Linked DNA regions of Anolis sagrei. The protein of the gene in region 1 purifies or fractionates together with the protein of each later gene. This does not show direct contact. Links are inferred from orthologs where the notes say so. Each region holds a gene or a part of one and is shown in the gene's direction. Other genes may lie near its edges. The genes, in order: PTPRU, CLGN and GOLIM4.

Region 1 (10,393 bases):
CCACCGGAAGTGCAAGCAGAGCCGGCGCTCAATCGTTCTCCGCGTTCAATCCCTTCCCCATGACCGGTTACCTTTCCCGATCCCCTGGCACTCCACCCGCCTCCTCTCCTCCTCGTGGGTGGGCCAAGGGGTGGAGCCACCGCATCTGGCCCGCTTCAGGTCCGGAGGCATGTCTGAAGACCCCAGCGTGCGCAGCAAAATTCGCCTCTTCTCCGGATTTTCTCTTCAGCCATTGGGACCAAGAGAGAGAAAGAGAGAGAGAGCCCCTCCGGCTGGAGGTATTTCCCACCTCCGCTCCCTCCTTTGTTTTTGTGCCTACCTTCAGGAAAGGTGTGCATCTCCACCTCTGTCTCTCTCTCTCTTGGTCCCAATGGCTGAGGAGAAAGTCAGGAGAAGAGGTGACTGTTGGTGCACACAGTCTTCAGGCACGCCTCCGGACCCAAAGCGGGCCAGGCAAGGGAGCAAGTGCGGCAAGTGTAGTTACTGGGATGTATAGTTCACCTACAATCAAAGAGCATTCTGAATTCCACCAATGATGGAATTGAACCAAATATGGCACACAGAACTCCCACGATGAACAGAAAATATATATCAACTAGCCGTCCCCTGCCATGCGTTGCTGTGGCCCAGTCTGGTGATCTGGAAAATAAAGTAATGAGAAAGTGTTGGTTTCTAATATATGTAATGTCTTTATGCTTGTGGGTAAACAGTATTTCTTGTTCTTTCTTGTCAGTGTTGATGTGGTGATTGTCTGGTTTGCCTACTCTGGAACATGCAACATCATCCTTCTTTAGGGGTCCCTTTCAAATCTTTGATTGTCATATACATATGTGTGTGTGTGTGTGAATGGCTGGATGGCCCTTTGTCAAGAGGGTTTTGATTATGTTTTCTTGCCCTGGGGAAGGGAGTTGGACTGGATGTCCTTAAGGCAGCATTTCTCAACCTGGGAAGTCAAAACCTGGGGGGGGGGGGTTCACCAGGGGGGTGTCAGAATGGTTACCAAAGACCACCAGAAAACACAGTTTTATGTTGGTCATTGGGGTTCTGCGTGGGATGTTTGGCCCCAATTCCATCATTGGTGGGGTTCGGAATGCTCTTTGATTGTAACTACAACCCCCAAATGTCAAGCTATAGTTTCCCCAAACCCCATCTGTGTTTATATTTGGGCATATGGAGTATTCGTGGCAAGTTTGGTCCAGATCCATCATTGTTTGAGTCCACAGTGCTCTCTGGATGTAGGTGAACTACAACTCGCAAACTCAAGGTCAATGTCCACCAAACCCTTCCAGTATTTTCTGTTGGTCATGTGAGTTCTGTGTGCCAAGTTTGGTTCAATTCCATCGTTGATGGAGTTCAGAGTGCTCTTTGATTGTAGGTGAACTATAAATCCCAGCAACTGCAACTCCCGAATGACAAAATCATAATTTGTTGAGTGATGGTCACTCCTTGTGTTGTGAGACGTTTTGTTGCCAAATTTAGTGTGATTCTGTTTATTGGTTCTTTTGTTTTTAAGGTACTCATTATGCACAGACCATTTATATATATAGATAGATAGATGATTGGTTGGGGGGGGGCGCCAAAATACTTTTTGCTTGTTGTTGTTCATTCGTTCAGTCGTCTCCGACTCTTCGTGACCTCATGGACCAGCCCACGCCATAGCTCCCTGTCGGCCGTCACCACCCCCAGCTCCTTCAAGGTCAGTCCAGTCACTTCAAGGATGCCATCCATCCATCTTGCCCTTGGTCAGCCCCTCTTCCTTTTACCTTCCACTTTCCCCAGCATAATTGTCTTCTCTAGGCTTTGCTGTCTCCTCATGATGTGGCCAAAGTACTTCAACTTTGTCTCTAGTATCCTTCCCTCCAGTGAGCAGCCGGGCTTTATTTCCTGGAGGATGGACTGGTTGGATCTTCTCGCAGTCCAAGGCACTCTCAGAACTTTCCTCCAACACCACAGCTCAAAAGCATCGATCTTCCTTCGCTCGGCCTTCCCTAAGGTCCAGCTCTCACATCCGTAGGTTACTACAGGGAAGACCATGGCTTTGACTAGGCGGATCTTTGTTGCCAGTCTGATGTCTCTACTCTTTACTATTTTATCGAGATTGGACATTGCTCTCCTCCCAAGAAGGAAGTGTCTTCTGATTTCCTGGCCACAGTCTGCATCTGCAGTAATCTTTGCACCTAGAAATACAAAGTCTGTCACGGCCTCCACATTTTCTCCCTCTATTTTCCAGTTGTCAATCATTCTTGTTGCCATAATTTTGGTTTTTTGATGTTTAGCTGCAACCCAGCTTTTGCGCTTTCTTCTTTCACCTTGATTAGAAGGCTCCTCGGTTCCTCCTCGCTTTCGGCCATCAGAGTGGTGTCATCTGCATATCTGAGGTTGTTAATGTTTCTTCCAGCAATTTTCACCCCAGCTTTGCATTCATCAAGCCCCACACATCGCATGATGTGTTCTGCATACAAGTTAATAAGGTTGGGTGAGATTATTCAGCCTTGCCGTACGCCTTTCCCAATCTTGAACCAGTCTGTTGTTCCGTGGTCAGTTCTGACTGTTGCTCCTTGGTCCTTGTACAGATTCCTCAGGAGAGAGACAAGGTGGCTTGGTATGCCCATCCCACCAAAAACTTGCCACAATTTATTATGATCCACACAGTCAAAGGCTTTAGAATAGTCAATGAAGCAGAAGTAGATGTTTTTTTGAAACTCCCTGCCTTTCTCCATTATCCAGCAGAAACAACTACCATCCGGTCAGCCTCATGTCGATACTGGGCAAGATTCTGGAAAAGATTGTTAAGAAAGCGGTCTGCAAACACTTAGAAACAAATGCAGTCATCGCTAATAGTCAACATGGATTTATCAAAAACAAGTCATGCCAGACTAATCTGATCTCTTTCTTCGATAGAGCTACAAGCTGGGTAGATGCGGGGAATGCTGTGGATGTAGCGTACCTGGATTTCAGTAAGGCCTTCGACAAGGTCCCCCATGACCTTCTGGCAAGGAAACTAGTCCAATGTGGGCTAGGCAAAACTACGGTGAGGTGGATCTGTAATTGGTTAAGTGGACGAACACAGAGAGTGCTCACTAATGCTTCCTCTTCATCCTGGAAAGAAGTGACGAGCGGAGTGCCGCAGAGTTCTGTCCTGGGCCCGGTCCTGTTCAACATCTTTATTAATGACTTAGATGAAGGGCTAGAAGGCATGATCATCAAGTTTGCAGATGACACCAAATTGGGAGGGATAGCCAATAGTCCAGAGGACAGGAGCAGAATTCAAAACGATCTGGACAGATTAGAGAGATGGGCCAAAACTAACAAAATGAAGTTCAACAGTGACAAATGCAAGATACTCCACTTTGGCAGAAAAAATGAAATGCAAAGATACAGAATGGGGGAGGCCTGGCTTGAGAGCAGTACGTGTGAAAAAGTTCTTGGAGTCCTCGTGGACAACAAGTTAAACATGAGCCAACAATGTGATGTGGCGGCAAAAAAAGCCAATGGGATTTTGGCCTGCATCAATAGGAGCATAGTGTCTAGATCTAAGGAAGTAATGCTACCCCTCTGTTCTGCTTTGGTTAGACCACACCTGGAATATTGTGTCCAATTCTGGGCACCACAGTTCAAGAGAGATATTGACAAGCTGGAATGTGTCCAGAGGAGGGCGACTAAAATGATCAAGGGTCTGGAGAACAAGCCCTATGAGGAGCGGCTCAGGGAACTGGGCATGTTTAGCCTGAAGAAGAGAAGGCTGAGAGGAGATATGATAGCCATGTATAAATATGTGAGAGGAAGCCACAGGGAGGAGGGAGCAAGCTTGTTTTCTGCTTCCTTGGAGACTAGGACGCGGAACAATGGCTTCAAACTACAAGAAAGGAGATTCCATCTGAACATTAGGAAGAACTTCCTGACTGTGAGAGCCGTTCAGCAGTGGAACTCTCTGCCCCAGAGTGTGGTGGAGGCTCCTTCTTTGGAAGCTTTTAAGCAGAGGCTGGATGGCCATTTGTCAGGGGTGATTTGAATGCAATGTTCCTGCTTCTTGGCAGGGGGTTGGACTGGATGACCCAAGATCAGCCCCCTCGCTGATGGTATTCCGAAGAAGATTAAAAACCTGGATGTTCGAGCAAGCATTTGGTTAATTCGGTGCAATGAATGGGATGATTAAGGATTGGTAATATGGATGACGAAACTGGACCACGATTTTAGTTAAGAGATGCATTGAATAGTGATTTATGTGTCAACATTGTGTATTATGTTTTTTATGGTTTTAAATTGTATATTGTGGATTGTGTATTTTGTTGTAAACTGCGTTGAGTCGCCAGCTAGGCTGTACAGTAAATAAATAAATAATAAATAAAATAAAATAAATAAATAAGAGGTCTCTTCCACCTCTTTGATTCTATGATTCTATGATTGGCAATCTGGTCTCTCGTTCCTCTTCCTTTTCTAAACCAGGGCACTCATTATGCACAGACCATTTATATATATATATATAGATGATTGGTTGGGGGGGGGGGGGCGCCAAAATGCTTTTTGCTTTTTGTTGTTCATTCGTTCAGTCATCTCTGACTCTTCGTGACCTCATGGACCAGCCCACTCCAGAGCTCCCTGTCAGCCGTCACCACCCCCAGCTCCTTCAAGGTCAGTTCAGTCACTTCAAGGATGCCATCCATCCATCTTGCCCTTGGTCGGCCCCTCTTCCTTTTGCCTTCCACTTTCCCCAGCATAATTGTCTTCTCTAGGCTTTGCTGTCTCCTCATGATGTGGCCAAAGTACTTCAACTTTGTCTCTAGTATCCTTCCCTCCAGTGAGCAGCCGGGCTTTATTTCCTGGAGGATGGACTGGTTGGATCTTCTCGCAGTCCAAGGCACTCTCAGATCTTTCCTCCAGCACCACAGCTCAAAAGCATCGATCTTCCTTCGCTCAGCCTTCCCTAAGGTCCAGCTCTCACATCCGTAGGTGAGTACAGGGAATACCATGGCTTTGACTAGGCGGATCTTTGTTGCCAGTCTGATGTCTCTACTCTTCACTATTTTATCGAGACTGGACATTGCTCTCCTCCCAAGAAGGAAGCGTCTTCTGATTTCCTGGCCACAGTCTGCATCTGCAGTCATCTTTGCACCTAGAAATACAAAGTCTGTCACAGCCTCCACGGTTTCTCCCTCTATTTTCCAGTTGTCAATCATTCTTGTTGCTATAATCTTGGTTTTTTTGACGTTTAGCTGCAACCCAGCTTTTGCGCTTTCTTCTTTCACCTTGATTAGAAGGCTCCTCAGCTCCTCCTCGCTTTCGGCCATCAGAGTGGTGTCATCTGCATATCTGAGGTTGTTAATGTTTCTTCCAGCAATTTTCACCCCAGCTTTGCATTCATCCAGCCCCGCACATCGCATGATGTGTTCTGCATACAAGTTGAAAAGGTTGGGTGAGAGGATGCAGCCTTGCCGTACGCCTTTCCCAATCTTGAACCGTTGACAATTACCTAGGGCCGCCTCTGATTGTGAGTCCTGGGGCTGTCCTGCTCCTCGCTGGGCCAGCAGGGGGCGCCCGCTCCTTTCCCAGCCCCCTCCCCAAATCCAAATCCAACCCCACGGGCCCCCGCCCCGCCCCCTTCGCTTCGCCTGGGAAGCCTGACGTCACTTCGCCGCGGGGGGTTGGCTGTTTTTTTGGGTTGGTTTGGTGCGTGCCTGCGGAGGAAAGGCTCGGCTCCGGCTTCTCCGCCCGGAAGGAAAGGCACAACTCGGAGTCCGCAATCTCGGAGACCCCGCGCCACACAGGAGATCAAGGCGGATCATTATCAGAGTCCACACTGCCATCCAATCCCTTTCAGTTTGGCCTTGGGGCAACTTTGTGGGAAAGGCCTGCAAGCGGAGAAGATTGCGGAAGGAGAAGTCGGGAAGGAGGAGGAGGAGAACTTTTCTTGGCGGCTCGGCATGCAGGGCAACGCCGCCCGCGCCGTGCTCCTCGCGCTCGCCCTCCAGCTCTGCTCCGCCGAGACCGAGGCGCCCGCGGGAGGAGGAGGAGGAGGAGGAGCAGGTCAGTCCCTTCCCCCCCCTCCCCCTCCCTCTGCCCCTGCCCTTTCGGCGCCCTTTGGGGAAGGGGCCCACCTTCCCTCCCCTTCCCTACCTTCCCCATTCCTCCCGGTCTCTCGGGGCCCCCTCAGTACCTGTTTGGCCACCCACAAGATCTGCTTGGAGCTGGGTTATCTGAGTCCACACTGCCACATTTTATTTATTTATGTATTTACTTTATTTGTATACCGCACTCTCTCAGCCCGTAGGCGACTCAGTGCGGTTTACAACCAGGGCAATATACAAAGGTGCACAACATTAGCATTAGCATTTCAAAACAGTAACTAGAGCAGTGTTTCTCAACCCTTGAGGGGGTCGTGAGGGGGTGTCAAAGGGGTCGCCAAAGAACATCAGAAAACATAGTATTTTCTGTTGGTCATTGGGATTCTGTGGGAAGTTTGACTCAATTCTATTGTTGGTCGAGTTCAGAATGCTCTTTGATTGTAGGTGAACTATAAATCCCAACAACTACAACTCCCATATGTCATAGAATCATAGAATCAAAGAGTTGGAAGAGACCTCATGGGCCATCCAGTCCAACCCCCTGCCAAGAAGCAGGAGTATTGCATTCAAATCACCCCTGACAGATGGCCATCCAGCCTCTGCTTAAAAGCTTCCAAAGAAGGAGCCTCCACCACACTCCGGGGCAGAGAGTTCCACTGCTGAACGGCTCTCACAGTCAGGAAGTTCTTCCTCATGTTCAGATGGAATCTCCTCTCTTGTAGTTTGAAGCCATAGTTCCGCGTCCTAGTCTCCAAGGAAGCAGAAAACAAGCTTGCTCCCTCCTCCCTGTGGCTTCCTCTCACATATTTATACATGGCTATCATATCTCCTCTCAGCCTTCTCTTCTTCAGGCTAAACATGCCCAGTTCACTAAGCCGCTCCTCATAGGGCTTGTTGTCAAGGTCTATTTTTCCCAAACTCCACCAGTGTTCACATTTGGGCATACTGAGTATTCGTGCCAAGTTTGGTCCAGATCCATCATTGCATGAACCCACAGCACTCCTCTGGGCATAGGTGAACTACAACTCCCAAACTCAAGGTCAATGCTCACAAAACCCTTCCAGTGTTTCCTGTTGGTCATGGGAGTTCTGTGTGCCAAGTTCGGTTTAAATCCATTGCTGGTGGCGTTCAGAATGCTCTTTGATTATAGGTGAACTATAAATCCCAGCAACTACAACTCCCAAATGACAAAATCAATCCTCCCCTCAACCCCACTAGCACTCACATTTGGGCATATTGCGTATTTGTGCTCACTTTAGTCCAGTGAATGAAAATGCATCCTGCATATCGGATATTTACATTACAATTTATAACAGTAGAAAAATGACAGGTATCAAGTAGCAACAAAAACAATATTATGGTTGGGGGTCACCACAACATATGGAACGGCATAAAGGGGTCACGGCATCAGCAAGGTTGAGAACCACTGAACTAGAGCAACTAAATCACATAACAATACATCAGTACATCAATATAACAACAATACATCCATATAACTAATCCATCACGTCTCATCAATAAAGTCATAATCCAATCTCCTCGTCCATTATTCCAAGTTCCAATCTCAATCAATTGATTGCACTGCTTAATTAAACGCCTGTTCAAAGAGCCAGGTCTTCACTCTTCTCCTGAACGCCAGCAGGGAGGGGGCCGATCTAATGTCTGCGGGAAGGGCGTTCCACAGCCGAGGGGCCACCATTGAGAAGGCCCTGTCTCTTGTCTCCATCAGTCATGCCTGCGAGGCTGGCGGGATCGAGAGCAGGGCCTCCCCGGACGATCTTAATGTCCTAACTGGTTCATAGGGGGTGATGCGTTCGGACAGATAGGTCGGGCCAGAACCGTTTAGGGCTTTAAAGGCTAAAGCCAGCACTTTGAAATGTGCCCGGTAGCAAATTGGCAGCCAGTGGAGCTGGCGCAACAGAGGAGTGGTGTGCTCCCTGAATGCCGCTCCCGTTAGCAACCTGGCTGCTGCGTGCTGGACCATCTGAAGCTTCCGAGCAGTCTTCAAAGGCAACCCCACGTAGAGAGCGTTGCAGTAGTCTATACGGGATGTAACCAGTGCGTGGACTACCGTGGCCAAGTCAGACTTCCCAAGGTACGGGCGCAGCTGGCGCACAAGTTTTAATTGTGCAAATGCTCCCCTGGTCACCGCTGAAACCTGGGGCTCCAGGCTCAGCGATGAATCCAGGATCACACCCAAGCTGCGAACCTGCGTCTTCAGGGGGAGTGTAACCCCGTCCAACACCGGCTGTAACCCTATAACCTGTTCGGCCTTACGACTGACCAGGAGTACCTCTGTCTTGTCTGGATTCAGTTTCATCTAGTTCAGTGCTTCTCAACCTTCCTAATGCCACGACCCCTTCATTCTCATGTTGTGGTGACCCCCAACCATAAAATTTGTTCCCTTGCTGCTTCATAACTGTCGTTTTGCTGCTGTTATGAATAGTAATGTAAATATCTGATATGCAGGATGTATTTTCATACACTGGACCAAATTCGGCACAAATACCCAATACACCCACATTTGAATACTGGTGGGATTGGGGGAGGGTACTGATTTTGTCCTGTGGGGGTTGTAGTTGTTGGGATTTATAGTTCACCTACAATCAAAGAGCATTCTGAACTCCACCAACGATGGAATTGAATCAAACTTGGCACACAGAACTCCCATGACCAACAGAAAATACTAGAAGGGTTTAGTGAGCATTGACCTTAAGTTTGGGAGTTGTAGTTCACCTACATTCTGAGAGCACTGGGGTCTCAAACAATGATGTATCTGGATCAAACTTGGCACAAATACTCAATATGCCCAAATTCTGAACCTCGCCAATGATAGAATTGTGCCAAGCTTCCCACACAGAACCCCCATGACCAACAGAAAAGGCTGTCTCAGTTCTTGTGGGTTTTTTCGGGCTATATGGCCATGTTCTAGAGGCATTTCTCCTGACGTTTCGCCTGCATCTATGGCAAGCAGGCGAAACGTCAGGAGAAATGCCTCTAGAACATGGCCATATAGCCCGAAAAAACCCACAAGAACTGAGTGATTCCAGCCATGAAAGCCTTCGACAATACACAGAAAAGGCTGTGTTTTCTGATGATCTTTGCGACGCCTCTGACACCCCCTCGCGACCCCCCTCGGGGTCCCGATCCCCAGATTGAGAATCACTGATCTAGACCAAACTTGGCACGAATACTCAATATGCCCAAATATAAACATTGGTGGAGTTTGGGGGAAATAGACCTTGACATTTGGGAGTTGTAGTTGCTGGGATTTATAGTTCACCAACAATCAAAGAGTATTCTGAACCCTACCAACGATTGAATTGGGCCAAACTTCCAACACAGAATCCCCATAACCAACAGAAAATACTGTGTTTTCTGGTGGTCTTTGGTGACCCCTCTGACACCTCCTCGCGACCCCTCCAGGGGTCCCAACCCCCAGGTTGAGAAACACTGATCTAGTTCAGTGTGGGTTAGATCAAGCGGGGTATAAGTCTGACTTGGCCACGGTGGTCCACACTCTTGTTACATCCCAATTAGACTACTGCAATGCGCTCTACGTGGGGCTGCCTTTGAAGACTGCCTGGAAGCTTCAATTAGTCCAACGGCTGCTCACCGGAGCGGCATACAGAGAGCATACAACTCCTCTGTTACGCCAGCTCCACTGGTTATTTATTTATTTCTATACTAGCTGTCCACTGCCACGCATTGCTGTGGCCCAGTCTGTTGATCTGAAAAATAAAGCAATGAGAAAGTGTTGGTTTCTAATATATGTAATTTCTTTATGCTTGTGGGTAAACAGTATTTCTTGCTTTGTCAGTGTTGATGTGGAGAGTGTCTGGTTTGCCCACCCTGGAACATGCAACATACCATTGTCCTTCTTTAAGGGTCCCTTTCAAATCTAGGATAGTATGTCTCTGTGTGTGTGAATCATATCTATCTATCTATCTATCTATCTATCTCTATATCTATGGCTGGATGGCTCTTTGTCAGGAGGACTTTGATTACGTTTTCTTGCCCTGATGGAGTTGGATTGGATGGCCTTAAGTATCTTCTTTTGGTCATGGGGGTTCTGTGTGGGAAGTTTGCTCCGATTTTGTCGTTTGTGGGGTTCAGAATGGTCTTTGATTTAGGTGAACTGTGAGTCCCAGTGACTACAACTCCCAAATGTCAAGGTCTATTTCCCCCAAACTCCATCTGTGTTCATATTTGGGCATATTGAGTGCTTGTGCCAAGTTTGGTCCAGATCCATCATTGTTTGAGTCCACAGTGCTCTCTAGATGTAGGTGAACTACAACTCCCAAAGTCAAGGTCAATACCCACCAAACCCC
Region 2 (11,030 bases), on another chromosome or scaffold:
GAACCCTCCTTATTATTCAGCTCTTCATTCGATTCCTTATCTGCTGTTGCTACTTCTGACTCATTTCCCAGACTTGAGAGCCCATCACTTTGTGCCACAGGAATGCTCACAATCCTCTTAAATCATCAGTTAAACCATCAGGCTCTGGTGGCTGATCTACAATACATACAGAGATAGGAACTGGTTAAAAAAAATAGGTTTAGTTCGTTAGCTCTCTCATGCTTAAGCCTCATTGGATAAATATCCAAGAATACTCTTATATGTATGGGGAAACAGGCTTTACTTTTAATTTTGGGAAATATGTGTATTTTGGAGATCTCTTTGCCCTCTAGTCCAGAAGTGTTCTGCATGTGCATTTGGAGACAGATATTATAAAAGCAAACAACTTTGTGTTCATTCTTTTTGGATAATTCCAAGTGTAGTTAAATATAGTAGAAAGCGGCATTTTGAAAGAGTTGGCTATATGAGTCCGTTTTGGGTTTTACTATTATTCATACAATTCAGACAGAATTTTAAATACTGACATAACCTTTTCATTAAAAATGAAGTCCATAAATAATCACACTATTTTATTGGGACACATCGAGGAGGCTAGTAAAAATTATGTAAATTTAGCTTTTGTATGAAGAAGGGATGAAGCTGGATAACTGTCTTCAATCTTACATTTTGTAAACACTGACAACCCCTCCTTTTCCTTTTAATGCAGATATTTATAAGGACATGAAGAAAAAGAGATGTCTTTGAGTCTTCAATGCTGCATTGGAGGAAGGCCATCTAGTGGTAGCAACAAAATGCTCAGCAATAAAATGAATCTCCTTTCTAATACTGTGTATTGGGGTGGGGAAAATTGTCCTTTTTGTATAGAGTATTATTAATGTTAAAAAGAATCTGATTACATCTTAAATGCGGAATTTGAAATATTTCTCATAGCGATTTAAATGTCAATGACTGTTTTGTAAATAAAATGCATATTGATAGTTTGAACAAATATAATAAGGCAACTATCCTATGCACACTAACTAAGCAATACATTCAATTGAAGACTGGGAAAATGTCCTGTAAATTTCATAATTGGAGATTGATTAGTAGTACACTTAAAACATTTTTAAAATAAAAACTATTTATCAGAATTGCAGGCTTTTCAGTCTCCTTATAATTGCAACATATTACTTGAGCATTATTATTTTATCATTATTTTAAGAAGCACATCCAGTATTCTTACAAGTTAAATATGGAAAAAGCTTTAAACATGCTGCCTGGGGTATTCTTGACATTACAATCCTAAAATAATACCTGCCTGTTTTATCATTTGAAAGCTTCGTTATTTATTTATTTACCTATTCACTCCATTTAAACCCCACCTTTCCCTACCCTAAAGGAGACTCAAGGTGGCTTACATACGATAATTATTAAATGCCTTGCAACACATGCAGACATTAAAAACTTAAAATCAGTTGAGTTAAAATTAATACAAGTTAAGCATTTTAAAGATTGCATTTAGCATTGAAACCATGCCATCCAAAGATCGTGGTCCAAAGTCAATATGGTTCCGGTCCAGCATACCTGTCTGAACATATCCTCCCCTATGAATCATCTCAGAGATTAATATAGTCTGGGGAGGCAGATAATAATTGTACATAATCCTATGGGCAAACCATGGTTCTAAATGGTTCTAAAGTACTTGCAAAACTAAAGTTCTGGTGGTGAAAACTAGGGAGCACTGATGCTTTGCTTCTACAGTGTTGCTAAAGTTCTGATGGTGAAATTTCAGAACTCTAACAAAATTTTCAACATTTCATTATTATTTCATTATTGCCAATTTTATGACAGAACTGCCATTTATAACAAATTTTTGAAGGTTTTTTTAGAATTCTGAAATTTTCACCACCAGAACTTTAGCAACACTGTAGAAGCAAAGCAGTAGCGCCCCCTAGTGTTCACCACCAGAACTTTAGTTTTGTAAGTACTTTAGAACCATGGATTGCCCATGCCTATGCACTACACTATTATCCGAAAGCCTGGTCCCAGAGCCAGGTTTTTACTTGCCTTCTGAAGGTGAGGGGGGAGGGGGCTGATGTGATGTCACTAGGGAGAGAGTTCCACAGCTGAGGGGCCACCACTGAGAAGGTCCTGTCTCTCATCCCCATCAGTGTGCTTGCGAAGAAAGCAGGACCAAGAGCAGGGTCTCCCCAGATTATCTTAATTTCTCAGGTGGTTCATAGGGGAGGATATATTTGGACAGGTAAGCTGGGCTAGAACCGTATAGGCCTTTGAAGGCTAAAGTGAGCACTTTGAATTGTGCTCGGAAGCAGACTGTTAACCAGTGGAGCTGGTGCAGCAGGGGAGTTGTGTGCTCAATGTCCATCGCTCCGGTGAGCAACCTGGCTGCTGCCTGTTGGACCAGTTAAAGCTTCTGAATAGTCTTCAAAGGCAGCCCCATGTAGAGTGTGTTGCAGTAATCTATATGGGATGTTACATGGACCCCTAATTTCCTTTTTGTGGAGGAGTATGCTTCAAAATGAATTGGAACAGCAGTGCTGAGCTGAGGAGTATTTAATCATTTCACCTGGTATTGTTCTAGCAAATTGAAATGTTATTCTTAAACCAATGTTTAGCCAAGTAAAGGGAAAATACAGGTGGCTTCGTTCTTCTCCAGTGGAAAAAGAGTAGGTCATTCTCTGATGCAAAAAACAAGTTAATGCTCCCGCTATCATGACAAATACCAAAGCCATCTGGACTGACAGCTGAGAAAGTATCTCCTCAAATTGGGAAACTGACTACAGCCCCCTTCCACACAACTGAATAAAATCCCACATTATCTGCTTTGAACTGGATTACATGGCAGTGTGGACTCAGATATTCCAGTCCAAAGCAGATATTGTGGATTGTCTGCCTTGATATTCTGGGTTATATGGCTGTGTAGAGGGCCCTTTGAAAAGATGACAGAAAATATGTAGCAACATATGACCAGGGACTGCCACTGTTGCTACCTGAAGTGCTCGTGTATCTCCACGTGGTAATGGGCATGGTGATAATGTGGATCTGGGCCCAGGTTTCATTTTTTAAAATCTACCATTCTGGTCACTGCATTACAAAACTATAAATCAAATAGTCCTATCTATTTTAGAACTATTATCACGCCCTCATTGATTCAATGGGCCTTACTCTGGTTGGGGCTAAGATCATGACTTCCTAGTGAGAGAAGTGATATTTGGAGAACAATTGTTATTCATAACCAAGTGCAATTATGTTCATTCGGGCTTATAATACATACATACAAAAGGACTGCAGCATAACAATGAAAACCTAAGCATATTTACAACAGAATCAAGTTCCAATATGTCAAACGCAGCTTATTCTTAGTAAACATACACTGGATTGCAGTATTAAACAGCCAAAAAAATATTCAGCTCGGTTTAGGGCAGCGTTTCTCAACCTGGGAGTCAGGATTCCTAAGGAGGGGTTGCAAAGGGTTGTCAGAGGGGTCACCAAAGACCATCAGAAAACACAGTATTTTCTGTTGGTCATGGAAGTTCTGTGTGCCAAGTTTGGGATGGGATGGGAAGCCTGATAGCTCTTGCAGCCATGCCCTACTGAACATGGTTTGAACTGAGTTGACAAAACCCCTCTAGAGCTTTCAGCTGCACTCCCACCCAAGCTTATTCAAGGGACTCTTTTGCCTCCTCCCCAGAATGAGTGAGCAGCACTCTCATCTGATCTGTAAGTTAACTGTTGAATGATCAGGCTTATATCTTTGTTTTATTCTGGTTATGGGTTGCCTAGTGCTGTATGAACAAAACACCCCCCCCCCATCCCCACATCTGTTAGAAGTTGCCCACTGTTAGCCTAATATGTGCATGCTACTTTCTCAGTTACATTCCAAGTTGTGTTGCAGAGAGATGTGAAAAGTAACACACATTTCACTGTAGGATTTAACATTCTATCATCCTTTCCTCTTACTTTTGGTCAGGATGAAATTCACAACAGGATGTCTGAAAGCTGACTTTAAAAAATTATAATGAGGGAACCCAAAACTAAAATATTGCCAACAGATAATAATAATAATAATAATAATAATAATAATATTTATTTATTTGTACCCTGCCACCATCTCCCCAAAGGGGACTCGGGGCAGCTAACATGAGGCCAAGCCCAAAATTACAGTACAGCAAAATAAAATACAAAGAAGCAAAAATACCATCAAAATAAATACATTAAAAAACAAAATAAACAGTTTCAAAATTACATGATAGAGAAACTGAACACAGTGGGCGGGCCAAATGTACTAGGATAAAATTGATAAAAATCCTGGATGAGATAGGTAGTGAAAGAATGTGTTTCTGAGGAAGGAGCTCAAAAAGAATGAACAATGGGGTTAATAAGATCTGTCACCTAATGTATAATTTAGTACAGCAACTTAAACTGTCATTAATTTAAGGCATTGAGGAGGGTGGGAAGATGCCCTGAAAACTTAGACTGAAGTAACTCTTAAGGGATATTGATGTGGAGAGCAAGGCTCCTGCCACCAAGAAACTGCATAGGGAACTTTTCTCTGTACACAGCAACAAGCAGGTGATGTTCCATAGCAACTTGCTCCATGGTTACACTGGAGTGCCATATGGATGGGGTTGGGACTGTTAGCCCTTTGAATGGAAAGATAAACTATTTTGAAAAAAAAAGAGTGTTTCTTGGAGCATCATGGTGCATTAGGGAAAATTCCATTCTGTTGGGTTCGTGTGGCACGCCCGCACACACACACACACATATTCCCTATTTGGGATGAAACCTGCAAGATACAACTACATCAAGCAAGGCAATAGACAACCAGAGATATTGGAGGTCTTTCATTCACAAAGTTGCCATAAGTCAAAGTCAACTTGATGGCCAATAACAAGAATTAAAGCAAACAGCATTGCAAACAGTTGATATTTTTATATATTTTTAACTATGAATATTCAAACAGTATTATTACGATGCTTATTTATATCCCACCTTCTCTCTCCATACGAAGACTCAAAGTGGCTCACAATTGAAAGATTACAATACAACTTAAAATATACAATATACAAATATTTTAAAGTATTAAACATTGTTAATATTGGTTTGCTCTGAGTTTTCCGGGCTGCATGGCTATGTTCCAGAAGCATTATCTCCTGGCATTTCACCCACATCTATGGTAGGCATCCTCAGAGGTTGTAAGGTCTGTTGGAAACTAGACAAGTAAGGTTTATATATCTGTGGAGTGTGTGAATGCAAGTGTAAATGCTGCCATAGGTCACCTTGATTAGCATGGTATAGTCTTGCAGTTTCAAGGCTTGGCCACTTCCTGCCCGGCACAATCCTTTGTTGAGAGGTGATTAGCTGTCCCTGATTGTTTCTTGTCTGGAACTCCCCACTTTTGAGTGCTGTTCTTTCTTTACTGAGTTTTTTATATACAGATATTATTCCTTTTCATAGTTTCCTCCTTTCAGTTCAAATTGTCAAATTGGCTCACAGTGACAACAATTTGATGCCGCAATATCACAATAACAATATAAAACCATAAATACATAACAAATTAAAAACAATAACATGAATGATACAGTCATATAGCTGTTTCCATTAGCATAACAATCATATGGTCCAGTTCAATGTCCAAAGTGCCATTGTGCCTGCTAGTCAAAAGCCTGGTTCCCAAACCACGATTTCAGTTTTTTCCTAAAGGAAAGGAGGGAGGACGCTGATCTAATCTCACTGGGGAGTGAATTCCACAGGTGGGGGGTCACCACCGAGAAGGCCCTGTCCCTCGTCCCCACCAGATGTGTTTGTGAGGCTGATGGGACCGAGAGCAGGGCCTCCCCAGTGGATCTTAAACTACGAGGTGGAATGTAGGGAGAGATACATTCGGACAAGTAAGCTGGGCCGGAGACGTATATAGCTTTAGAGGCCAGGACCAGCACTTTGAATTGTGCTGTGAAATGGACCGACAGGTTCAAATCCAGGGAGAACGCGGATGAGCTCTTTCTGTCAGCTGCAGCTCCCCATGCAGGGACATGAGAGAAGCCTCCCACAAGGATGGTAATACATCAAAACATCTGGGTGTCCCCTGGGCATCATCCTTGCTCCTGACACACACACACACACACAAACAAACTAGAAACACTCAGGTTCACTACTGCACAGTGAAGCTTGGTGACTCTTAGGCTAGATCTACACTGTCATGTAATCCAGTATTGAATTTATGTTTTCCCCTATTAACCTATCAGACCTTAAGGTCCTCCGGGGAGGCTCTCTTCACAGTCCCACCACCCTCACAAGTGCAGCTGGTGGGAATGGAGGAGAGGGCCTTTTTGGTGGTGGCCCCCTGGCTCTGGAATGCATCAAAACATCCGGGCGTCCTCTGGGCAACATCCTTGCAGACAGTCAATTCTCTCACACCAGAAGGAATTTGCAGTTTCTCGTCACTCCTGTGTGTTTTTGGTGGGATGGTTATTTGTTTATGTATTTTTCACTCCTAACACGAAAAAAAAATTGCCATGATATTGTGGGGCCCAGAATTGAACACAGGATTCCTGGGTGAGGCCTGAGGGAAGCAGAAGAAAGTGGGACTTCTTCCTTCAATGTAGACACAAAAACAAATAGCTGCTTTGAGTCTCCTTGTGGAGAGAAAAAGTGGGGGGTATAAATAAATATCATCAAGGATTTGAATCAATTAAGAATTGTGGGAGTTTCAAGTCCAAAACAATTAGACGCCCGAAGTCTCCTCGTGCCTGGTCGACTCTCCACTGGGCGCGCTCTCTTGAGTCAGAGCTCTTATTAGGCGAGATGCTCATGAAGCCACGCCCCACGGCGGATCCGATTGGACGAGCCGGCACGTGCCGCCTTGTCACCGAGCGGCGGACCGATCCGGGGTTGGGTTAAGTGAGCCGAAGGGAATTAAGAAGAAGAAGAAAAAAAAATCTCTTCCCTGCGATTGGTTCGCTCAGCCTCTCAGCGCCCTATCGCGATTGGTTGCGACGGCGCGGCGCGTGCCGAAGCACCTGCGCTTGGACCAGCGACGCATGCGCGCCGGGGGATGCGCTGCCGAGAGGACTGCGTGCGGAGGGGGGAGCGTGATTGACGGGCGGTAACGGTCGCGGCCTGTCAGTGAGGAGGGAGAGAGAGGTGAGACGAGGCGAGGCCCAGGGCGCCTCCTGCTCGGGGCGAGGAAGGGGAACGAAAAGGGAGCGGTCGTGAGGGAGAAGGAAGGAGAGGAGGAGGGCCTGGAAGCGGTCGCCATGGTTCCGTTGGCGGGCCTCTCCCCCCTCATTCATTTGAATGCCTCGCGCCTTGCCCTTCGGATGCATGCGAGGTCTCCCCAAGGACGGCTCATAGTTGTTTTGTCTCCGTCTCACGGGCGACAAACCTTTTTCCCCTCCTCAAAAGCGTAAAATAGGATTTGGGCATTGACTGTGCCTCAAGCTTAAGGCAGGCCTAGGTTTGTACTTGCTTAGTTTGTAACCGAAGGGTGCATCTATAACAGGCATGGGCCAACTTGGGCCCTCCAGGTGTTTTGGACTCCAACTCTCACAATTCCTATATATATATATTATTGAAGTTTTTCAGATATAATAATAACAGGGGGAACAATTGTTTGGTATAGAAAAGTAGGAGAATAGAAAAAGGTAAGAAGAGATTTAACTTCAATTAACTTCAATTAGTCCAGCGGGAGGCAGCCAGATTGCTCACCGGAGCGTCATACAGGGAGCATACCACCCCCCTGTTGTGTCAGCTCCACTGGCTGCCGATCCAGTTCCGAGCACAATTCAAAGTGCTGGTTTTGACCTACAAAACCCTATACGGTTCTGGCCCAGCGTATCTGTCCGAACGCATCTCCCTCTACCTCCCACCTCGGAGTTTGAGATCCTCTGGGGAGGCCCTGCTCTCGGCCCCGCCTCTGTCACAAGTGAGATTGGTGGGGACGAGGAGCAGGGCCTTCTCAGTGGTGGCCCCTCACCTATGGAATTCACTTCCCGGGGAAATTAGATCAGCGACATCCCTCCTTTCCTTTAGACCCGTCGCAAACTAGCCTCCTGCGGGAGCAAACCGTGCCAGCACGTCCCTGACGTCATGAGACTCCGCCTCTCGCCCCGCCCCTTTCTCCGCCTCTTTCTCCGTGCCAGAGTGGTTTTTCCTTTGCTAGGGCAGCATTGCCAGCGTACTCTCGTTGGCAGAATTCAACAACGAGAGTATGCTGGCAATGCTGCCCTAGCAAAGGAAAAACCACTCTGGCACGGAGAAAGAGGCGGAGAAAGGGGCGGAGAGAGAGGCACAGTCTCATGACGTCAGGGACGTGCTGGCACAGTTTGCTCCCACAGGAGGCTAGTTTGCAGCGGCTCTTAGAAAGAAATTAAAAACATGGATGTGGGACCAGGCGTTTGGGCAATCTGGCAGATAAATAAAGGACTGCGACGACGGATAGGAATAGACAATGTGGAACGAAGTATGGACTCTGAGTTGGCGAACGCCATGCATGAGATTGGCTATTGACTGTGATATATATTGTTGTTTTAATTGTTTAACCGTTTAACTGCTGTTTTTATACGTTTATTGTATTATTGTGAGGGCATCAAATTGTGCCATTTTGTAAGCCGCCCTGAGTCCCCCCTCGGGGGTTGAGAAGGGCGGGGTAGAAGTATATGAAATAAAAATAAATAAATTTAGATAGGGGACTGTTTTTTGGGGGGGGGGGTGGGAAGGATGGAAGGATAGGGAAGGGATTAGGGGGGTTAGGGTTAATATACAGTCTGACTTCCAATCCTCTTCACGTCGGGTGTATCTTCCTTTTCTTTCCTTTTTTTGATAGTCAATCACGGTAGTTTGGCAAGCTCCTTCTTATGGTTCATCCTGAGAGCATTTGATGCTTGAAATTATCTTATATGATCTATTTACCATTTCAGGTTTTCTTGCATTATATAGTTCTTTATTGGTATCCAGTCTGTTTTGGAAATTTTCAAATTCTGCTTTATGCTCATCCATTGGGTTAATTTATCCATACTCATAATATCTAAAAATATTTATTAACCATTGCTCTTGAGATGGAATCTCTTTCATTCTCCATACTCTTGCATAATTTATTCTGGTCGCCGTCACCAGGTAGTTGAAAAATTTAATCTTTATTTAGCTCTATTTCGAAGTCAATTATTCCCAGAAGAAAATATTCCGGTTTTAATTCCATTTTTATATCCAGTATCTTTTCTATTTTTTCGTGGATATTTTTCCAATGTGTTTTGGAAGTTTTACATGTCCACCACATATGATAAAAAGAGGCAGTTTGTTCTTCGCACTTCCAGCATTTATCGTTGATTTCTGGGTAGCATTTTGCCAGTTTCTGAGGTGTGATTTTTAGCCAGTTTTCTTTTAAATTAGATGCATAAGTATATTTCATTTTCTTGTTCCATGTTTTCTCCCAATCCTCTAAATTAATTGAGTGTCCAATATTTTTCCACTTAAGCGGCAGAGGGTGAAAAGGAAGGGGCCTGAGGCTATTAGGAATTCTGAGAGTTGGAGTCCAAAACACCTGGAGGGCCCAAGTTGGCTCATGGCTCTTATAGATGCACCCTTTAATCCAATTTCTAGTCTTACTACATACAGTCTGGTAAGAGAATTGAATAGGATATAATGTGCCCTTGATATTCACTGGGGTTTAATTACGGGGCTCTTGAGTATACCAAAATTTCATGTTTATATGCAATGGCGTCCCTCGTATTCAGGCGTCCTCAGACTATAGAGAGAAACCACTGAAATCTACAAGCATGTAGACAATTTCAACAGAAAAATCAAGGTTTGCTTTTTGAAATTGTTCAATAAATATTTTCAAATCATATTTGTAATGGGTTGCTGTGAGTTTTCTGGCCATGTTCTAGAAGCATTCTCTTCTGCTGCTTTGCCCACAACTATGGCAGGCACCCTCAGAGGTTGTTAGGTCTGTTGGAAACTAGGCAAGTGAGGTTTATGTATCTGTGGAATGTCCAGGGTGGGAGATTGATTCTCCTCTGGTATTCCCCTGCTTTTTGAGTAAGACAAGAATGAATCGGGGCCAGTTAGTGCCTCCTAACAAAGGATTCCTCAATAATAATAATAATAATAATAATAATAATAACAACAACAACAACAATAACTGCAAAGACTGGCACAAGCCGGTAAAGGTGGTCCCAGTGGTGATTGGCACACTGGGTGCAGTGCCTAAAGACTTTAGTCTGCAGTTATACACAATCAGCACTGACAAAATTACCATCTGTCAGCTGCAAAAAGCCACCCTACTGGGATCTGCATGCATTATTCGCCGATACATCACACAGTCCTAGACACTTGGGCGTGTCCGACATGTGATCCAATACAACAGCCAGCATAGTGACCTTGTTTGCTGTGTACTAATCTTGTTGTGTTTCAAATAATAATAATGACATTAAAAACTTTGTTTGTATTCCATCCTATCTCCCCAAGGAGACTCAGGGCGGATTCCACCATAACAACGGCAAACATTCAATGCCTTCATAAAACCAACAAATACTGACATAAAATCCCAGAGAATCTATGAAAATAACTCATCCACGCTCTCCTTGGATTCAAACCTCAGACCTGTTGGTCTTCAGTCCTGCTGGCACAAGGGTTTAACCCATTGCGCCACCGGGAGTTCCTGTCGTCATAGGGTACAAACAGGGCTTGTTGTATTAGACTAGGGTTTGTCTATTACTTGGCCACAAAGCATCTTGGCCAACTTCTGAACCTACATCCCAGGTTTGCTGTGAAGATAAAATTGGGGGGAAATCGGCAAGAATCACATAGAACCTTTTTGCAGAAGAGTGGGATAAAAGTTAAATGTATATTCATTTACCTGAGTACCTGCTTTTATGCAGCCAAAAGTCACCAGCCATTACAACAGGTAGATATTAACAGGCTTAAGGTAACCCCAAGATCCTCAAAAATAAACACGTGTGAGGAAGTGGGGAAATTGAAGAATAGAACTTGCTCAGTGGCCATAGGATGGCCAGGATATGGACTGAAACTCT
Region 3 (11,053 bases), on another chromosome or scaffold:
TTCACTGTTTATCTTTCACATACATAGCAATGGGAAATACAGTGGTGTAGGCAATCCTAATTTTAGTATGATTTATCTTTTTATTGCAGGGTCTTGTCTAGTTTTTTCATAACTCTGCTTCTTAGTCTTCTTCACAGTGAATTAGCAAAGGCATGGAAAATCTTAGAAAAAAATAACAGAAAGTAGTAGTAAACTAACATGAAGTACAACAATAATGTAATAAGTTACATTTATGATTCAACCTAGTAGTTCGAAAAAATGCAAATGTGAATAGATCAATAGGTACCACTCCAGTGGGAAGAAAATGGCGCTCCACGCAGTCATGCCGGCCACATTACCTTGGAGGTGTCTACAGACAATGCCGGCTCTTTGGCTTAGAAATGGAGATGAGCACCATCCCCCAGAGTCAGACACAAATAGACTTAATGTCAGGGAAAACCTTTACCTTTACTTACTTTTCAAAGCTGCAAATGAATACTTACAAGCAACTTTCATACACACACACACAAACACACACAAATATATACATACAAACACACTCCAACACACGCACATATGTACACACGTCCCAACCCATTTGCTAAGAACAATTAATGCAAATGTCTTTATGACAATAGATGAGTGAAAGGTAGAACAAAGCCTCTGATTTCAAGGGAACTAAGCATTCCAGAATTGATGAACCTGCATCATCTTTCAGAACTATGAGGTTCACAAATTGCTTCTTCACTTATCTTATTATCCTCTGATCTCACACTCACAGCTATGTTGCTGTTGTTGGTCTGTGTCCTCGAGTCATTTCTGACTTATGGTGATCCTAAGGTGCCCTATCATGGGTTTTCTTGGCAAGATTTGTTTGCTTTTTCCTTCCTCTGAGGCTGTGAGAGCGTGACTTGTCAAAGGTAAAGCAGCTTGTTGAAATGGCTGTGTACAGATTTGAACCATAATGGCTGGAGTAGCTATCCAACACTCAAGCCACTACACTCCATGTTGACTTTCAACACAAACATGTAACTGGCAATATACCTATGCTTTCATGTGAATTCCACCAAAGGTTCTGGATAAGTGGAATGTAATTCAGGAAAGTCCACACTAAAATGAATAATTTACTCTTGAAATTGCTACTAGGTTCCTTCACTCTTGTTAGCATTTCATTTTTATACTGCAATAAACCAATATCCCCCTCTCTCTTTGGAGAGACATAATAGTTGAATGATAAATTTATCCTTATTTTCTCACGTTGTGAAAGATCTGCAAGACCTGGAACACCTCACACAGCCTAAAAAGATTCAAGGCAAGGGACATGATTTGTATCCTTCTGAATTACATTTTATCCTGCTTCAATAACTGTATGCTTAATAACCTAATTATTCTGTATTACAGAATAATTGTGACTTGGTATCCACAAAAGCTCAGGTTGAAATGAAAATAAGTTAATTTTAAGAGTGCTGTTAAGATTCCTTTTTTCCTTTTTACACTGCAACATATTAATAAGGCTGATTCTTTAGAAACAACGTACCAAAGATTTCATATAAACATTGGCACCCTTGTTTGGGTGTGGGGAAATAATATGTAAGACTTGGCGAGGATCTTGTTCATTCTCTTAAGACATTGTTACATTATGCCATATTCTTATGGCATAATTAAAAAAAACCCTTCATGTTCTTTTTCCATGGCGAATTGGATATTTGGGTGGATGCTCTTCAGGTGGTCCAGGAACTTGTTTAGTTCTTCTTCTCCGTGGCTCCAAATGGTGGCTCCACATATCTGAAACATATAGTGTGCCTTTTTGTGGCTGTTTCCAGGGCTTGTTTTTCAAAAGTGTTCCATGTAGAAATTTGCTATGACTGGGCTGAGAGGGATCCCCATAGCTACTCCATCTTTCTGTTCATATAATTCATTGTCCCACTGAAAGTAGCTGGTGGTGAGGCAATGATGAAACAGAGCTGTGATGTCGTCCGGGAACTTCTGGTTGATTATTTTGATAGTGTCTGCTACCGGGACCATGGTAAATAGAGACACCACACCAAAGCTGATCACTTTGTTGTTGGTATTTAGAAAATGAAGGAAAATTGCCATTTCTATATGTCCTAGTCATCCATAAACCAGATCAACATTTGGGTCACACAGAAAACCTACACACACAGATACCTACATTAAAACTCCAATCATCACCCAAGTCAAAAAAGAAGCACCATTAAAGGCCTGACAGACCGTGCAAAAAGAATCTTCTAAACCCACCTCCTCCAAGATGAACCACCTCAACTGGGCTCTCCAGGCCAATGGATACTCCACCTCAGACATCAGAAGAGCTGCAAGACTGAGAACAAGCCACAAGAGTAAAGACAAAGATCCACCCAGAGGAAAAGTGTTCTTGCCATACATCAAGGGAACCACTGACTGCATAGGGAAGCTGATGAGGAAACACAACATACAAACTATCTACAAACCCACTAAGAAAATCCAACAAATACTACATTTAGCAAAGGACAAGAGGATCCTCTCTCCTCTGCAGAAGTCTATTGTATACCATGCAGCTGTGGACAAGTCTACACAGGGATCACAAAACACAGTGCCCAAACACAAATCAAGGAACATGAAAGGCACTGCAGACTACTTCAACAGAGAAGTCTGCCATAGCAGAGCATCCGATGAACTAACCTGGACACAGCATATTATTTGAGAAGAGAGAAATGCTGGACCACTCTGACAACTGCCATGTCAAGCTACACAGAGAAGCCATTGAAATCCACAATCATATGGACAATTTCAACAGAAAGGAAGAAACCATGAAAATGAACAAAATCTGGCTACCAGAACAAAAAAAAACTCTAAAATTATAAGAGTAAATAAGAAACAAAACTCAAACACAGAGAAACTCCAGCCAGGAAACAATCAGAAACACCTGGTCACCTCTCAACAAGGAAATTTCCCTGGCAGTAACAAGCCACACCTCAAAACTGTCAGGCCATCAAATGCTAATCAAGGTGGCCAATTGGAACAGTCACACCTTAGCTCCAACAGACAAGAGTTTTTTTTCTCCCACCCTGGACCTTCCACAGATATATAAAGCCAATTTTCCAGTTTCCAACAAACCTCCAAGGACACTTGCCACAGATGCAGGAGAGAATGCTTTTAGAATATAGCCATTCAACCCAAAAAACCTACAACAACCCAATGGGAATATAGATAATAATGAGGACTTTCATGATGCGGGCTCAATAAAGCTGTGGCAGAAAAGGCAGAAAATCCCACAATATTTGCTTTGAACTGGCATATATAGCAATGTGGACTCAGGGCCCTTCCATATAGCCCTATATCCCAGAATATCAAGGCAGAGAATCCCAACACATCTGCTTTGAACTGGAGTATCTCAGGCCCTTTCCACACAGCTGAATAAAATCCCAGATAACCCAGCTCAAAGCAGATATTGTGGGATTTTCTGCCTTGATACCCTGGGATACAGGGCTGTGTGGAAGGGCCTTGGGTTATCTGACAAATGCAATATTCCAGCCAGCACGTCAATGACTTAAATCAAGAAATAGTTTTCTAAGATCTACAGAGACACTCGCTGGAACACCTCAGAAAGCGAGAGTCCAAAAGTGGCAGGCTCAAACCCAGAACCTCAACCAGTGGCTGGTACCAAATGAGAGACTCCCCCCTGGGCACACAGAAAACTGGGCAACTTGGAAAGTGCTGAACAGACTGCGCTCTGGCACCACGAGATGCAGAGTCAACCTTAAGAAATGGAGCTACAAAATGGAATCCACGACATATGAGTGTGGAGAAGAGCAAACTACAGACCACCTGCTGCGATGCAACTTGAGCCCTGCTACATGCACACTGGAGGACCTTCTTATAGTAACACCAGAGGCACTCTAAGTGCCCAGCTACTGGTTAAAGGACATTTAATCAACTACCAAGCTTGCAAACTTTGTTTTGTTTTGTTTGTTAAAATGCAATACAACTGTTTGGCTTGCTCCTGACACGATAAATAAATAAAATAAATACTCCACTTAGGCAGAAAAAAATGCAATGCAAAGATACAGAATGGGGGACGCATGGCTCGAGAACAGTACGTGTGAAAAAGATCTTAAGAGTCCTTGTGGACAACAAGTTGAACATGAATGCGGAACAATGGCTTCAAACTACGAGAAAGGAGATTCCATCTGAACATTAGAAAGAACTTCCTGACTGTAAGAGCTGTTTAGCAGTGGAACTCTCTGCTCCGGAGTGTGGTGAAGGCTCCTTCTTTGCAGGCTTTTAAACAGAGGCTGGATGGCCATCTGTCGGGGGGTACTTTGAATGCAATTTTCTTGCTTCTTGGCAAGGGGGTTGGACTGGATGGCCCACGAGGTCTCATCCAACTCTATGATTCTATTCTACGAGTAAACACTGCCAGAAACACTGCAGAAAATGTGGGATTCCATTCAGCTGTGTGGAAGGGGCCTCTGTGTACTTTGGGAAGCCAATTTCTCTCTCTCTCTTTCTCTTCTATAAAATTAAAAATGTAATGTTTGTTTGTGGGATTAACATAACTCAAAAACCACTGGATAAAATGACATCAAATTTGAGCACAATACATCTATCAGGCCTACGAGTGACCACCACTCATAAAAACACTGAAAAACACAGAAGAGACTTTAAAAGCCAAAAAAAATAAAAAACTCATTACAACGCATGTGCAAAACCACACATATAAACACAAACACACACACATATATATACACATATAGACAAATATATATACACACAAAACACATATACACAGACTCGGCCACAGCAATGCATGGCAGGGGATGGCTAGTTATTACCTATATAAATAAAAATGTAATGTTTGTTTGTGGGATTAACATAACTTAAAAACCACTGGGCGAATTGACACTAAATTTGGACTCACGACACCTATCAGGCCAATGAAACACTGAAAAACACAACAGAAGGGACTTAAGAAGCCAAAAAAAAAAAAGAGAGCAAAAAGACGCTACAGCGCATGTGCAAAAAAAAAAAAAAAACCTCCCCCGGCAAACGAAACACACAGTAGCATATCCACACTCTCTTCCAGACTACAGTTCCCAGCATCCCCTAGACCAGGTCATTTAGGAGAGGAGGGTTTTTGGTTTTTGTTTTCTTTTTGTTGTGTCAGGAGCGACGTGAGAAACTGCAAGTCACTTCTGGTGTGAGAGAATTGACCGTCTGCAAGGACGTTGCCCAGGGGACGCCCGGATGACTTGATGTTTTCATCATTTTTATGGGAAGCTTCTCTCGTGTTCCCAGATAAGGAGCTGGAGCTGATAGAGGGAGCTCATCCACCTCTCCCCACATTCAAACCTGCGAACTGTCGGTCTGCAGTCCTACCGGCACAGGGGTTTAACCCACTGTGCCACTGGGGGCTCCATAGGAGAGGAGGGTGATCTAGAGGGTTTATTTATTTATTTCTCATGTCAGGGCAGCCAGTCAATTATATTACATTTCTAACAGAACAAAGCAAACAAACAGACAAATACAAAACTTGTGAGTTTGGTAGTTGATTAAATGTCCTTTGACCAGTATCTGGCCACTTGGAGTGTCTCTGGTATTGCTGCAAGAAGGTCCTCCATTGTGCATGTGGCTGGGCTCAGGTTGCATTGCAGCAGGTGGCCAGTGGTTTGCTCCTCTCCACACTCGCATGTCGAGGATTCCACTTTGTAGCCCCGTTTCTGAAGGTTGGCTCTGCATCTTCTGGTGCCAGAGCGCAGTCTGTTCAGCGCCTTCCAAGTTGCCCAGTCTTCTGTGTGGGAGGGAGTCTCTCATTTGGTATCAGCCATTAGTTGAGGTTCTGGGTTTGAGCCTGCCACTTTTGGACTCTCGCTTGCTGAGGTGTTCCAGCGAGTGTCTCTGTAGATCTTAGAAAACTATGTCTGGATTTAAGTCATTGACGTGCTGGCTGATACCCAAACAGGGGATGAGCTGGAGATGTCTCTGCCTTGGTCCTTTCACTATTGGCTGCCACTTCCCGGCAGATGTCAGGTGGTGCGATACCGGCTAGACAGTGTAATTTCTCCAGTGGTGTAGGGCGCAGACACCCCGTGATAATGCGTCATGTCTCATTCAGAGCCACATCCACTGTTTTAGTGTGGTGAGATGTGTTCCACACTGGGCATGCGTACTCAGCAGCGGAGTAGCACAGCGCAAGGGCAGATGTCTTCACTGTATCTGGTTGTGATCCCCAGGTTGTGCCAGTCAGCTTTTGTAAGATATTGTTTCTAGCACCCACTTTTTGCTTGATGTTCTAGAGGGTGATCCAATGCACTTCTTCGAAGCTGCAAGCTATCTTCTCCTTGGATTTGAGAGCATTGCAATCCCTGCATATTTCCAATTCCCTATTCCTGGACTGCAGCTCCCACCAATCCTCCAGAATAGATCAAATAGAGATAGGTAGGTAGGTAGATTGATCAGGAGGACTGCTGGGAGTTGCAGTCCAAGATTGGGTAGAGAACTGGGAGAAAGAGGAAGAGAAAGAAAACTGGGGGGAAGGGAAGAGAAGGAAAGAGAGAAGGAAAGGAAGGAGAGTAAGAAAGGAAGGAGAGAAAGAGGGAGAGAATGCTGGCCACAGAAACGCGTGGTGGATACAGCTAGTATATATATATGTATTTCTAATATTACTGTTGCAATCTTTGGGGAGCTTGCAACAGTAGATATTTATAATATATAAACAAAGATCTCTTCTCGGTAGGGCAGGGAGGGTATTGCAGCCAGACGCGTGCACTCCCCATGCGTTCAAGCCTACAGAGGAAAGACCAAAGAAGCAATAGACAGAGAGAGAGAGAGGGGAGGCGCGTCTGCCCGCCCCTCGTGGAAATCCCACGCGCCGCCCCCTTCCTATGAGTTCCAGACTGGAATGGGAGGGGAGGGGGAGCGGGGCTGGAGCGTCCGAGACGGACAAGGGCAGCATCCAATGGGCGCCGTGGCTGCCCCTCGGGGAGGAGGGGAGCCAGGAGGGGCTTCGCCCAATGAGGCCGCGTCCAGAGCGGGACTTCCTTTGGGGAGGGAGGGGGGAGGAGGCGGGAATCCCGCAGTTGAGCCGCGGAGGTGACACGTAAGTGCGGGGCTGGAAGGCGGCCAGGGCGACCCAGGAGGAGGAAGAGGCGCCCCCTCCCACCCAAGGGGAAAAGTTGCCCTTGAGAGAGAGAGAAAGGAACTTTTAGCCTGAGGGGGGAGGCAGAGGGAGGGGGGAAGCCCCGGTTGGAGAAGGGGTCTCCGGGAGGCAGGCAGCTAGGAGCCCGCCTGCAACAGGAGAGAGACAAGAAGGGGGCAAGTCAGGTGGGCCAGCTGGCCAGGAACAAAAGAGACCTTGGGGGCCATAACCTTGGGATTTGCCCTTAGGAAGCCCCTCCTCATAAACAAAAAAGTATTTTCCTAAAGAGGAGAGATCCAATCTGGGATGCCTTCTCTCTCCTAAGCATCCTAAGTGGATAGAGTCCCATCCAAAGGGCAAGAAGCATTGAGAAGAGCTCAGCTTCAGCCTCCTTTGGCCTGACTCTTCTTCACTGGCCACTTTGCCCTGTCTGCAGGATGGCCTGAGATGCCTGGCGAGGCTTGAGGCCAAAGGGGTTATAGTTAGGGCCAGGGTCTATGGCCCAAGCTTGTTTCTTCTGGTGGCCTCACTCCTGGTGCCCTTGCCCCATGCGGAGGGTTGCCTAAACACTGAAGTCTAGAGGCGGACAAGCTCCTGGATTCCCCCAAGGGAAGGACTATGGGCAACGGGATGTGTTCCCGAAAGCAGAAGCGCATCCTGCAGTCCCTCTTGCTCCTCACCGTGGTCTTCGGCTTCATCTACGGGGCTATGCTCTACTACGAGCTGCAGAACCAGCTCAAGAAGGCGGAGGCCGTTTCCATCAAGTACCAGCAGCACCAAGAGGCCCTTTCAGCACAACTCCAAGGTAAAAGAAGTTGCCTCTCTCTGATCGACCAAAGCTCCACCCAGGTCCTGGCATCTGGAAGGTCTACCACAGTGGTTCCCAACCTTTGGGCCTCCGGGTGTTTCAGACTTAAGCTCCCATAGTTCCTGACAGCTGGTAAGCTGGTTAGGATTTCTGGGAGTTGAAGTCCAAAACACCTGGAGGTCCAAAAGTTGGGAACCACTGGTCTACAAAGTTCTTTTCATCTTGAGGGTGCATCCACACCAGGCATGGGCAAACTTGGGCCCTCCAGGTGTTTTGGACTTCAACTCCCACAATTCGTGAGAGTTGAAGTCCAAAATACCTGGAGGGCCCAAGTTTGCCCATGCCTGGTACAGTTTGGCATCACTTTAACTGCCATGCCTCAGTGCTGTGGAATCATGCGAGTTGCAGTTTTCCAAGATGTTTAGCCAACTCTGCCAAAGAGCTATGACTCACATGATTCCACAGCATTAAACCATGACAGTTAAAGTGGTGTTGAAACACATTATTTCCACAGTGTAGATGCAACCTTAACACCCTCATCCAACTTTTATAGCCCATGTGTCAACACTTGTTATATAGCCCATGTGTCAACACCTTTATAGCCCATGTGTCAACACCTGTTGCTCCAACCTCTGCTTATGTATGTACAATTACACACTCTTTGAAAAAAGTTAAACAACTCGGGGAGTAAAAGTAGAGTTGCAAATACATTATCACACATCATTGTTTCTATTTACCATAACTTCCGGTCTGAATTTGTGTTTGTGACTAAATGAGTCAATTGGTGATAGAACTGACCACATTTATACTGATCACTTAATGCAGTTAGAAGACAGCTTGACAATGTTTAGATGATGCATGTGAGAAATGTGTGAAGGAATGCAGCATAAGGGCTTTAAACAGAAATTAGCGAAGTCCAGTGATATTCTTAAATTGGGCCCATAATGTGAATCAGTATGCCTAAGTGTAAACCACATTGCATGGCGAAACTGTGTGTTGTTCCACACATGTGAATTGTGATGTTAGATCATAGAGTTGGAAGAGATCCCAAGAGCCATCCAGTCTAATCCCCTGCCATGCAAGAACATACAAACAAAACACCTCAAAAGATGAGCAACTAGCTTCTGCTCAAAAGCCTCCAGAGAAGGAAACTCCACCACACTCCCAGGCTCTTACCATGAGGAAGTTCTTAATGTTTAAACAGAATTTCTTTTCTTCCAGTTTGAATCCATTGCTTTGTGGGTTCCAACATGGCAGTGAAGTCACAGATACTGCAGATCCTGGAGCCAGTTTGAGACCAACTTTGGTGGTGCATATAAACACAATCCAGGCCTTGAACTGGTTCCAGAATTTATAATCATCTGTGCAGTGAAATTGTTACCTCCTCAGTGGTAACAACCTAAGTGGTCAGTGTAACTGTACCCTTAATTTAGAATGGTCTTGCCAAACCATTGAGAGATGGTTGAGAACGAGGGCCCCATCTACACTGCCCTATCATGCAGTTTTAGAATTAAGTTTAACTGCAGTGAGCTGGATTATATGAGTCTACACTGCCAAATAATGCAGCTCAACTGCATCCTGAGACTGCAGTATAGGACAGTGTAGATGGGGCCTAGATGTGCTGAACATGGTTGAGAGCTGTTAAATCAGGGTCTGTCTAGATTCAGCATTTTTTCCCATAACATTCTTCACATTCCCACGAGCTCTGCGCTGCTTGATAGGCATCTTTGAAAATTCAATTTGTTTCCTGTAAAGCAGCGGGTGTGGAATGAGTGGCCAAGACAGATTTATCAAAGGGGCATTTGGAGCAAGTGCACCATAGCACTTCATGATTGCTGTTGCTCGACTCATGTACATACTCTTGTGCTGAGTTGTCATAAAGTCTAGGGGAATTGGGAGAGGGAAGTCTTTCTCTGCCCCTTTACAGGGTTTGGCAGCAGTTAGTACCCACTTCATTTCCATTTTGTAGCTGTAGAAGTGAGTAAAGAGCCTGAGACCACTGCTTCTGAGTTATTGGTTTAGTCATGCTGACTGGTTCAAGGGGGAAATGCCCAGACTTTGCCCCTTTTCAGGCCTGAACAGGTCACAGGGATTGTTGTTCTTTGCCCAGCAGTGGCATTATGCCTAACTCACTCAAAGCCCAAAGCCAGGCATCCAATGCAGGTATGCCTCCTTCTGGAGGGTTTTACTTTTTGGAACTTTTCTAGAGCAGTGGTTCTCAACCTTTGGGTCCCCAGGTGTTTGGCCTACAACTCCCAGAAATCCCAGCCAGTTTACCAGCTGTTAGGATTTCTGGGAGTTGAAGGCCAAAACATCTGGGGACCCACAGGTTGAGAACCACTGTTCTAGAGTCTCACTCTAACTTTTTTGGCCCTTCATGTGCTTTTGGAGTCCAACTTTCTTTAGCACCAGTGAGTGTGTCCAGTGATTGATAAAGATGAAAACTGTATTCCTAACAACTTCTACAGAACTAAACAACTTCTTTAATGCACTAAAGTCATCCCAGCCATCGCCACATCCTGTAGTGAAGGATTCGAATATTTAATGTTGCACTCTGCAAAGAATTTCATTTCAATCAGCTCTAGTAGTTGAATAATGCTGATATCTGATAATATTCAAGAGGGGATTTTTGATTCATTTAATGCTATTCATAATTTAATTAATATATTTTGTACCATACTTCTATTATTTTGATTTGTAAAGTCCACTTTTATTACATTTATTGAAACATATTTAAGCCACTCTTCATCCTGCTGGATTCCAGGGTGATGTAGAAAGAAATTTAAAATGATCTAATATATTTTAAAAAGCTTAAACAAACAAAAATGGCAACAGACACAATAAGACAGAATCAACTAACTAAAATGACTTGGCAATCAGAAATTTATTTTTTATTAATAATTTTTAATCTCTAAAAATAACAGCAAATCCACAAATAGACAAACCAAGAATATAAACCATAAGACAAAATTCAAAAACAAAAGCAGCAGAGATACATTTTTAAAATATTTATTTATTTACCCTATTTATATATTGCCTTTCTCAACCCCGTAAAGGACTAGTCACACCTTTTGTAGGAAGGGTATTTCATAGTTGGGATGCCACAGCAAAAATGCCTCTTTGCTTATCTC

What was found.
Region 2: the proteins of PTPRU (region 1) and CLGN purify together in Homo sapiens (affinity purification with mass spectrometry; 3 studies listed by BioGRID and IntAct, with this or other methods). This does not show direct contact. The link is inferred for Anolis sagrei from reciprocal best matches to the Homo sapiens genes PTPRU and CLGN.
Region 3: the proteins of PTPRU (region 1) and GOLIM4 purify together in Homo sapiens (affinity purification with mass spectrometry; 3 studies listed by BioGRID and IntAct, counting the BioPlex papers as one, with this or other methods). This does not show direct contact. The link is inferred for Anolis sagrei from reciprocal best matches to the Homo sapiens genes PTPRU and GOLIM4.

What each region holds. Positions count from the first base shown.
Region 1 is NC_090034.1:64,384,991-64,395,383, reverse strand, and holds the start of PTPRU (receptor-type tyrosine-protein phosphatase U), read left to right. Parts: upstream 1-5,591; 5' UTR 5,592-5,921; coding exon 5,922-6,024; intron 6,025-10,393.
Region 2 is NC_090025.1:45,312,999-45,324,028, reverse strand, and holds the start of CLGN (calmegin), read left to right. Parts: upstream 1-6,919; 5' UTR 6,920-7,143; intron 7,144-11,030. Other genes in the region: alpha-1,3-mannosyl-glycoprotein 4-beta-N-acetylglucosaminyltransferase-like protein MGAT4D, read left to right, coding at 707-724. UniProt on the Homo sapiens protein: Functions during spermatogenesis as a chaperone for a range of client proteins that are important for sperm adhesion onto the egg zona pellucida and for subsequent penetration of the zona pellucida.
Region 3 is NC_090023.1:250,644,696-250,655,748, reverse strand, and holds the start of GOLIM4 (Golgi integral membrane protein 4), read left to right. Parts: upstream 1-7,020; 5' UTR 7,021-7,732; coding exon 7,733-7,919; intron 7,920-11,053. UniProt on the Homo sapiens protein: Plays a role in endosome to Golgi protein trafficking; mediates protein transport along the late endosome-bypass pathway from the early endosome to the Golgi.